Linked DNA regions of Mus musculus: region 2 is reported to be linked to region 1. The links are microRNA targets in miRTarBase. Many come from high-throughput screens and were not tested one by one. Region 1 holds a microRNA gene; the other region holds the end of a gene's coding sequence.
The links. The annotated mature microRNA mmu-miR-466f-3p reads CAUACACACACACAUACACAC and lies in region 1 at 1,909-1,929, shown strand. An mRNA with a match to its seed (bases 2 to 7 or 8) in the 3' UTR can be bound and repressed. Matches are read on the target gene's strand: a 7mer-m8 pairs with bases 2 to 8, a 7mer-A1 pairs with bases 2 to 7 and ends in A, and an 8mer does both.

Region 1 (3,665 bases):
CACCAGGTAAAAACCCTTGCCAGAGTCATCAGTATCTGGAGTTCAAATTCATGTTTAACTTCATGAAGAATTTGGGATCAGCCTGGATTCATGTGATGTCTCCCCTTGAATGTGCATATGTGTATACATAAGTGTGTTCATGTGTATATGTGTATATGAATATACATATACATACACACAAACATACATGCATGCATGGACACACACACACATGAATGGCACTCATTGATCCATTTGTATGATATATAATTTAGAGCTTTAAATATTATGTAGTACTGGGTCAGTAATAGTCTCACTCATAAGGTAAAAACACTTGCCAGAGTCAGGTGAAGAGAGAGTTCAAATACAAAATTTACTTCATGAAGAGATAGAAATCAGACTGGGATGTTTCTTATGTATGTGCATGTGTGCATATATGTATGTGTGCATGTTAATATATGCATATAAATATACACATATAAACTAACCAACACAACATGCACACACACAGAGACACACACAAATACACACACACACACACAAACTCAAAATTGATACTCATCTATCCATTTGAATGATATGTAACTTAATGTTTTAGAGCTATGTATAAATGGGTCAAGGAGAAGTCTCACTCACTAGGTGAAACACTTGCCAGAGTCAGGAGGATCAGGAGTTCAAATTCATGCTTAATTTCACAACGATTTAGAGATCAGTATGCAATTGATGTGATGCACACCAAGAATGTGCATGTGTTAGAGTTGTGTGCATATTCACTTCTCTATATGAATATGCATATACACACATGCACACACAGTAATGCCACTCATATATCCTTTGAAATGATATGTGCCATAGAGCTTTAGCGCTTATGCGGTAGTGATCCAGAGCTATGTCTCAGTTAGGAGGTGAAACGCTTGCCAGAGTCTGGAGGATCTGGAGTTCAAATTCATGTTTAACTTCATGATGAGTTAGAGTTCATCATGCGATTCATGTGATGCCCAACAAGAATGTGCATGTGTGTATAGCTGTGTGCATATTCACTTCTCTATATGAATATGCACATACACGCAAGCACACACAGGAATGGCACTCATATATCCTTTTGAATGGTATGTGACTTAGAACTTTAGAGCTTATGCAGTACTGATCAAGAGCTATGTCTCAGTTAGGAGGTTAAGTACTCTTGCCAGAGTCAGGAGGATGAGGAGTTCAAATTCATATTAAATTCATGATGAGGTAGCAATCAGTCTGGGATTCATGTGATGTCCCCCGTTTATGTGCATGTGTGCAGAAGTGTATGCATGTACATGTGTTTATGTGAATATACATATACATACACACATATACACACACATGCAAACATACATGTAGGAATGGTACTCATCGATGCATTTTAATGATATGTGACTTAGACCTTTGGAGATTATGTATGACAGGGCCAGTGTCAATTCTCACACACCTGGTGAAAACCCTTGTTAGAGTCAGGAGGTATAGGAGTTGAAAATCATGCTTAACTTCATGAGGAGTAAGAGATCATCCTGGATTCATGTGATGCCCCCTATATATGTGCATGTGTGTATACTTGTGTGTGCATGTATATGTGTCTATATGAATATACATATACATACACACCCATATACACACGCATGCACGGAAACACAAAAACATAAACATAAACACAGGAATGGCACTCATTGATCCATTTGAATGATATGTGACTTAGAGTCTTATAGATTATGCAGTAGTGTGTCAATGAACGGTCTCACTCACCAGGTGAAAGTTGTTGACAGAGTCAGGAGGATCAGGAGTTCATATTCATGCTCAATTTCAGTTAGTGATCATCCAGACATTCATGTTATGCCCCTCATGTATGTGCATGTGTGTTTACGTGTGTGTGCATGTGCATGTGTGTATATGAATATATGTATACATACACACACACATACACACGCACGCAACACACACACACACACACACACACGACACTCATTTATTCATTTGAATGATATGTGACTTAGAGTTTTAGAGATTATGTAGTACTGGGCCAGTGAGTGCTCTCACTCACAAGGTGGAAATCTTGCCAGAGTCAGGAGGATCAGGAGTCGAAATTCATTCTCAACTTCATGTTGAGTCCGGGATCAGCTTCTGATTCATGTGATGCCCCCAGTGTATGTGCCTGTGTGTATATGTATGTGTGCATGTGCATGTGTGTATATGAGTATACATATACATACGCACATACCCATACAAGCATGCACACAAACCCAAAACTGCCACTCATCGATCTATTTGAATGATATGTGTCTTAGAGTCTTAGAGATTCTGTATGACTGGGCCAGGGAGAGGATTCACTCACCAAGTAAAGACCCTTGCCAGAGTCAAGATAATCAGGAGTTCAAGGTCATGGTAAAGGCATGATGAGTTAGAGGTCATCCTGGCATTCATGTGATTGCCCCTATGTATGTGTGTATGTGTTGATGTGTGTGTACATGTACATGTGTGAATATGATATACATACATGCACACATAAGACACATATGAGCACATAGACACACAGGAATGGCACTCACTCATCAATCTATGTGACTGAGAGCTTTGGAGATTATGTGTGACTAGGTCAGGGAGAGTTATCACCCATCATATTAAAAATGCTTGTTAGAATCAGGAGGTCAGGAGGTCAAATTCATGCTTTATTTCATGATGACTTAGAAATCTGCCTGGGATTCATGTGATGCCCCCATGTATGTGTACATGCGTGTACCTGTGTGTGGATTGTGTATATGAATATACATATCTACACACGCATAGACATGTACACAGACACACAAACATGAATGCAACTCATCGATCCATTTGAATGACGTGTGACTAAGAGTTTTAAGATTCTGCAGTACTGAATAGGGAGAGGTCTCACTCAGCAGGTGAAATCCCTTGCCAGAGTCAGGTGGTCCTGGAGTACAAATTCATGTTTAACTTCATGATGAGTTAGAGTTCAGCATGCGACTCATGTGATGTCCATCAAGAATGTGCATGTGTGTATAGTTGTGTGCATATTCACTTCTCTATATGAATATGCATATACACGCATGCACGCACAGGAATGCCACTCATATATCCTTTTGAATGGTATGTGACTTAGAGCTTTAGAGCTTATGCAGTACTGGGCCAGAGCTATGGCTCAGTTAGGAGGTGAGTACTCTTGCCAGAGTCAGGAGGATGAGGAGTTCAAAATCATATTTAATTCATGATGAGTAGAGATCAGCATGCGATTCATGTGATGCCCTCCAAGAATGTGCATGTGTGTATAGCTGTGTGCATATTCACTTCTCTACATGAATATGCACATAGCTGTATGCACACATACTCACAGGAATGGCCAGAACTATGTCTCAGTTAGGAGGTGAATATTGTTGCCAGAGGGAGGAGAATATGGAGTTCAAATTCATGTTTAACTTCATGATGAGTTAGAGAACAGCCTGGAATTTCTGTGATTGTCCCCGTGTATGTGTATATGTGTATAGGTACGTGTGCATGTAAATGTGGGTATATGAACATGCATATATATATATATATATATATGTGTATATATATATATATATATACATACATACATACACATATACACACACATATGGACACATACATGTGCACACAAACACACATGGTAGTCATCCATTTGATTTATG
Region 2 (4,536 bases), not on the chromosome of region 1:
AGAACAGAGGGGCATCATCCAGTCCTGCTGACAGGAGGAGAGGAGGGAAGTGGCCGTAAGAGCAGTAGACCCAAATGCAGACCAAGAAGGTAAAAGGAACAAGAGATCAGCAATGGTCCCGCCGTGCTCACAAAGATCCAGGAATCGGAGGTCTCCAGACTACAGAAGCTCCAGTCCTTTCAGTAATTAGGGGTAAAATAAGTAGACGCTCACATGTAAAAGGATGAAACTAGACTCTCCCACTACATATCATATATGTAAAACTAACTCAGACTGGAGCAGAACTCATTGTAACAACTAAACTTTAATCATGTTCCTAAGAGGGACCAGGAGAGATGGTTCAGGGGTTAGGAGCATTGGCTTCTCTTCCAAAGGACCAAGCTTCAATTCCCAGCACCCACATGGCAGCTCACACCTGCTTGCAACTCCAGTTCCAGAAGATCTAACACCCTTACAAGGATCTGTGTGTATGTGTGCATATACATATATATATATATATATATATATACACACACACACACAACCACACATACTATACCAATGTGCAAAATACCAATGCACATAAAATAAAAATAAACAGCGTTTTTAATTCTAAGGAGAAAACACAGATTTTCCTGAGTTTGCATTAGGTCATGGTTTCTTAGTATCCACATCAAAACTACAATCAGCAGAAGGTAACTCAGGCATCACACACATTAAAATAATGATGACAATTGTTTCTGAGACTGGGTCTTACTATGTAGGTTGGGCTGGCCTCGGGAGCCTCAGCTGAGTACTGGGAGTGCTGGTTCATACTACTAAGCACAACCAATTTAGAAACATGTACACCCCAAGGAGCATCAACCATTAAGAGGGTGAAGACAGCCTACAGAATGGAGCAGAATGGAGAAAAACTGATGAAGGATTTTCATCAACAACTTGTACAATTCAATGAAGAGAGCCCAATTTAAAAACAGGCAAGACATAACCAGACATTTTCCCAAAGATATACAAATGGCCAATCAATGTGAAGAGACATTGAACATCATTAGCCAGAGACATGCATGACACCAGCAGGATATTGTAATAAAAGACAGGTCACCACTAGGGAGGTGGCTCAGCTGGTAGAGAGAGCTCTTGCCTAGCAAGCACAAAGCCCTGGATTTTGTCCCAGCACCGCATACATTAGGTGTGGAGGTACTTTTCTATGTTGTTAGCATTTAAGAAGCAGAGTCAGGAAGATCAGAAGTTCAATTTTCCTCTTCTACTTAGTGACTTCGAGGCCAGGCTGGACTATACGGAAGAAGAAGGGGGAGGGAGAGAGGACAGGCGGGCAAGAATGAGAAATCACAGCAAATGTTGATGAGGAGGTGGAGAAACTAGAACCATCCTCCATTGCTGGTGGTAATACAAACACGTGTAGCTGCGTGGGAAACACTGGGCAGTTTCTCAAACCGGTGAAAAGTTACCTTATGAGCTGTCCATTCTACCAGGCACATTCCCAAAATGAAACCCTGTCCACAGAAAGCCTGTGCCAATATATTCACGACACCAACATCTCAATAAAGCTGTCAACCCCACCCACATGTCTCAAAAGACAAGGAACTGAGAGCTCATCTTTCCTGTGAGAGTAGTTTTTCTGCCTGTAAAATAATATTTGCCAAAACCTTTGGCAAATCTTTGAGCTTAGAAGTAACTCACTATGGCTTGAGGATTAGGAAAGAGTTGAAGCACTGGGTGGGCATAATAAAGATGAATTAAGTCTACCATAGCTACTGATCCTCAAATTCCCCCAGAGTTAAGAAAGGTGAACAAGCCAGGCAGTGGTGGCACATTCCTTTAATCCCAGCACTTGGGAGGCCGAGGCAGGCGGATTTCGAGGCCAGCTTGGTCTACAGAGTGAGTTCCAGGATAGCCAGGGCTAACAAAGAAACCCTGTCTTGAAAAAAACAAAACAAACAAAAAAAGTGAACAATTCAACCATGCCAACAAAGACAAAGCACCTATCTATATACCTATGATAGAATCTTAAATGAGCAATGAAAAAAACACCATACTACCCCTGGGCCACTTGGCAAACAGCAGTGGTTAGCTGAGGTTGTCTGAAAAAGAGAATTCAGTAAGTACCTCCTGCTGTAGCGCTGGGATGGTGCCCAGGGCCTCATACTTGCCAGGGAGGGATCTACTGAGACATACCCCAACCCAAATGTCTAGAATGGATGGTCAAGGCCACTGGATAACAGAATCTTCACCTCTTAGTACTCTTTGCTCAACAGAAATGAGAATACACAGTAGTGGTCCATGAGGAATCATTCTGTCCTCACCTCTCTTCCCTGGTGAGGAAGTCACATGTCATCTCCTAGTCCATAGCATCTCTAACTAGAAAATGTGGGAGGTCACATGGGCAAAATGTGTGGCTTGAATGAGAAATGTATCCCATGGGCTTATGTATTTGAACACGTGGTCCCAGTTGGTGATGTAGTCTGCTGAGGTTATGGGGCTTTTAGAGGATGCAGTCTTGCTGGAGGAAGTAAGTCACTGGGGTTGGTGGTCCTTGAAGGCTTGTACCATTTCCTGCTCTTGCTCTTTCTCTCTGTGCTGCTTCCTACGTGTATGAAAATGAGATCAGCTAGCTTTCTGTTTGGCACCTTCCTCACCATAATATCCACCATAATCCCTACAAAACTCTAAGCCAAAACAAGCCCTTTCTTTATCAAGTTGCCTTTGTCAGAGTATCTTATCACAGCAACAGAAAAGGAACTAATACACAATGAGAGGTCACATAGGTACACTGTGCCATCTACCATGTCAATGCAGAGACTCTGGGCTTGAATGTAGCAGATCCTTAGAGACAAGGCGACTGAGAAAGAAATGGAAGGCACAAATAAATAGCTCCAGTCTTATCAAGTCATCCAAGAACAGGAGAGACATGGCTACCAGGGTCCTGAGAAAGGAAGTCAGTATTAGGAGGAGAACTGTGTGTGGAGCCCTTGTGAGATTGGCAGAGCTAGCCATGAAGCCAGTGACTCAAGAAAAAGAAGCAGGAATCAGGGTGACATAAGAGAGGAGACAGGAAGGACCAATACATCAAAGGACCCTCCAACTGCAGGGCTCAGAGTTTAAGAGATGCACATCCCCACTATCTGCCCAGGAAACAGAACAAGAAACTTAAAAACCTAAAAGCCAAGAGGAAAGGAGAAGGGAACCGCTGGCTTTCTTCTGTACACCAGACTTTGTGTCCATGGTTGTCTGTAGCTTTCCTGGTCTGGGTAGAGTCCCTCCTAGTCTGAGCTTGTCAGGTGAGACAGCAGCTGACAGTGGTGCACCTTTCACAGCCAGGGATCCATGGGGCAGGGGACAGGTGCAGGCGCTGCTGCTCAGAGTCCACACTTCAGGATGATGTGGTAGCCATCATTGCTTTCTGCTGCAAGAGAAACACTGGGCATGGGCATGCGTCACAGGTACAGAGTTGGTACAGTGTGATTTGGGTGTCCCAAAAGGCATGTATTAAGTCAGAGGCAAAAATCACTCAAATGACTTCATAAGGAAGAGTCTGTTTACAGAAGCAGGGCTTTCTACACAGGTTTTGGCATCTGTTTACACAATTACTGTGTGTGTGTGTGTGTGTGTGTGTGTGCATATACTTGTGCAGAGGCCAAAAGGTATCATTCCTTAGGAGTTTTTCCACCCTGTGTTTTGAGACAGTCTCTCATCGGTCTAGAGCTCACCAAGTAAGCTAGGCTGGCTGACCAGTGAGCCTGTCTCTGTCTCACCAGGCTAGGATGGATCACAAGCACATACCACCAATGCCCAGCTTTAAAACAAAACCAAACAACAATAACAAAACATGGGTTCTGGAGACTGAGCTAGAGGCTTCCTGCTTGCATGGCAAGCACTATATTGACTGAATGATCTTCCCAGGCACTCTGGTTTGGACAAAGAGCCTTTTCACCATAGATAGCCCTAGGCTCAAGGAGGAGGCTTTAGGCAAACTATGGCTTTCTGCAATTGTTTGTGCTATATTTAGGATCTTAAGGCCCATGTTGTAAAAGGTTTAGTCACCAGCTTATGCTAGCGAATGATGATGGGAGCTTTAAGGGGTGGAGCCAAGTGGGAGAAAATGACATCAGCCCTTGGAGGGAACACTGAGCCTTGGCCCTCCTCTCCCTTCACTTTCCAGCTGTCTTGAAGGTAACAGAGCAGCTCACCACACTCACACCTTCGTGTGCTGCCTTGCCAAAGGGCCAAATGCAACAGGGCTAACTGGCCATGGCTGAAACCTCCCAAACTGAGCCCAAATAACCAACCTCACACATTGTCACAGTAACAAAAAGCTAACACACACAGCCTAGGTCCCCAGAACAGGGTGGGAGTTGGTCTTAGAACAGCCTGAACCCAGTCTCCTGATCTTTAAGACTTATTTTACCTTTAATTTTGTGTGTGTGTGTGTATATGTGTGTGTACACTTGTGTGTGTGTGTGTGTGTGTGTGTGTGTGTGTGTGTGTGTGTGTCTGTCTGTCTGTCTGTCTGTCTAGGTGCAAATGAATGAAGTGACT

Region 2: miRTarBase lists Tfcp2l1 as a target of mmu-miR-466f-3p. Seed matches in the 3' UTR shown: 7mer-m8 at 2,743-2,749, 7mer-m8 at 2,264-2,270 and 8mer at 505-512.

Annotation. Positions count from the first base shown.
Region 1 is chr2:10,470,099-10,473,763 of GRCm38, forward strand. It overlaps Mir466f-3 (microRNA 466f-3), which reads left to right and starts at 1,855; the gene lies at 1,855-1,948. The region is part of intron 10 of Sfmbt2 (Scm-like with four mbt domains 2); the gene reads left to right. Mir669d-2 (microRNA 669d-2) reads left to right here and starts at 1,546; the gene lies at 1,546-1,631. It overlaps Mir297a-2 (microRNA 297a-2), which reads left to right and starts at 2,156; the gene lies at 2,156-2,245. It also overlaps Mir466o.
Region 2 is chr1:118,676,255-118,680,790 of GRCm38, reverse strand. Tfcp2l1 (transcription factor CP2-like 1) reads right to left here. Exons shown (of 15, transcript NM_023755.2): 15 at 1-3,403. The coding sequence ends at 3,357. Among named protein-coding and RNA genes, the nearest start is that of Tfcp2l1, 51 kb to the right of the region's middle.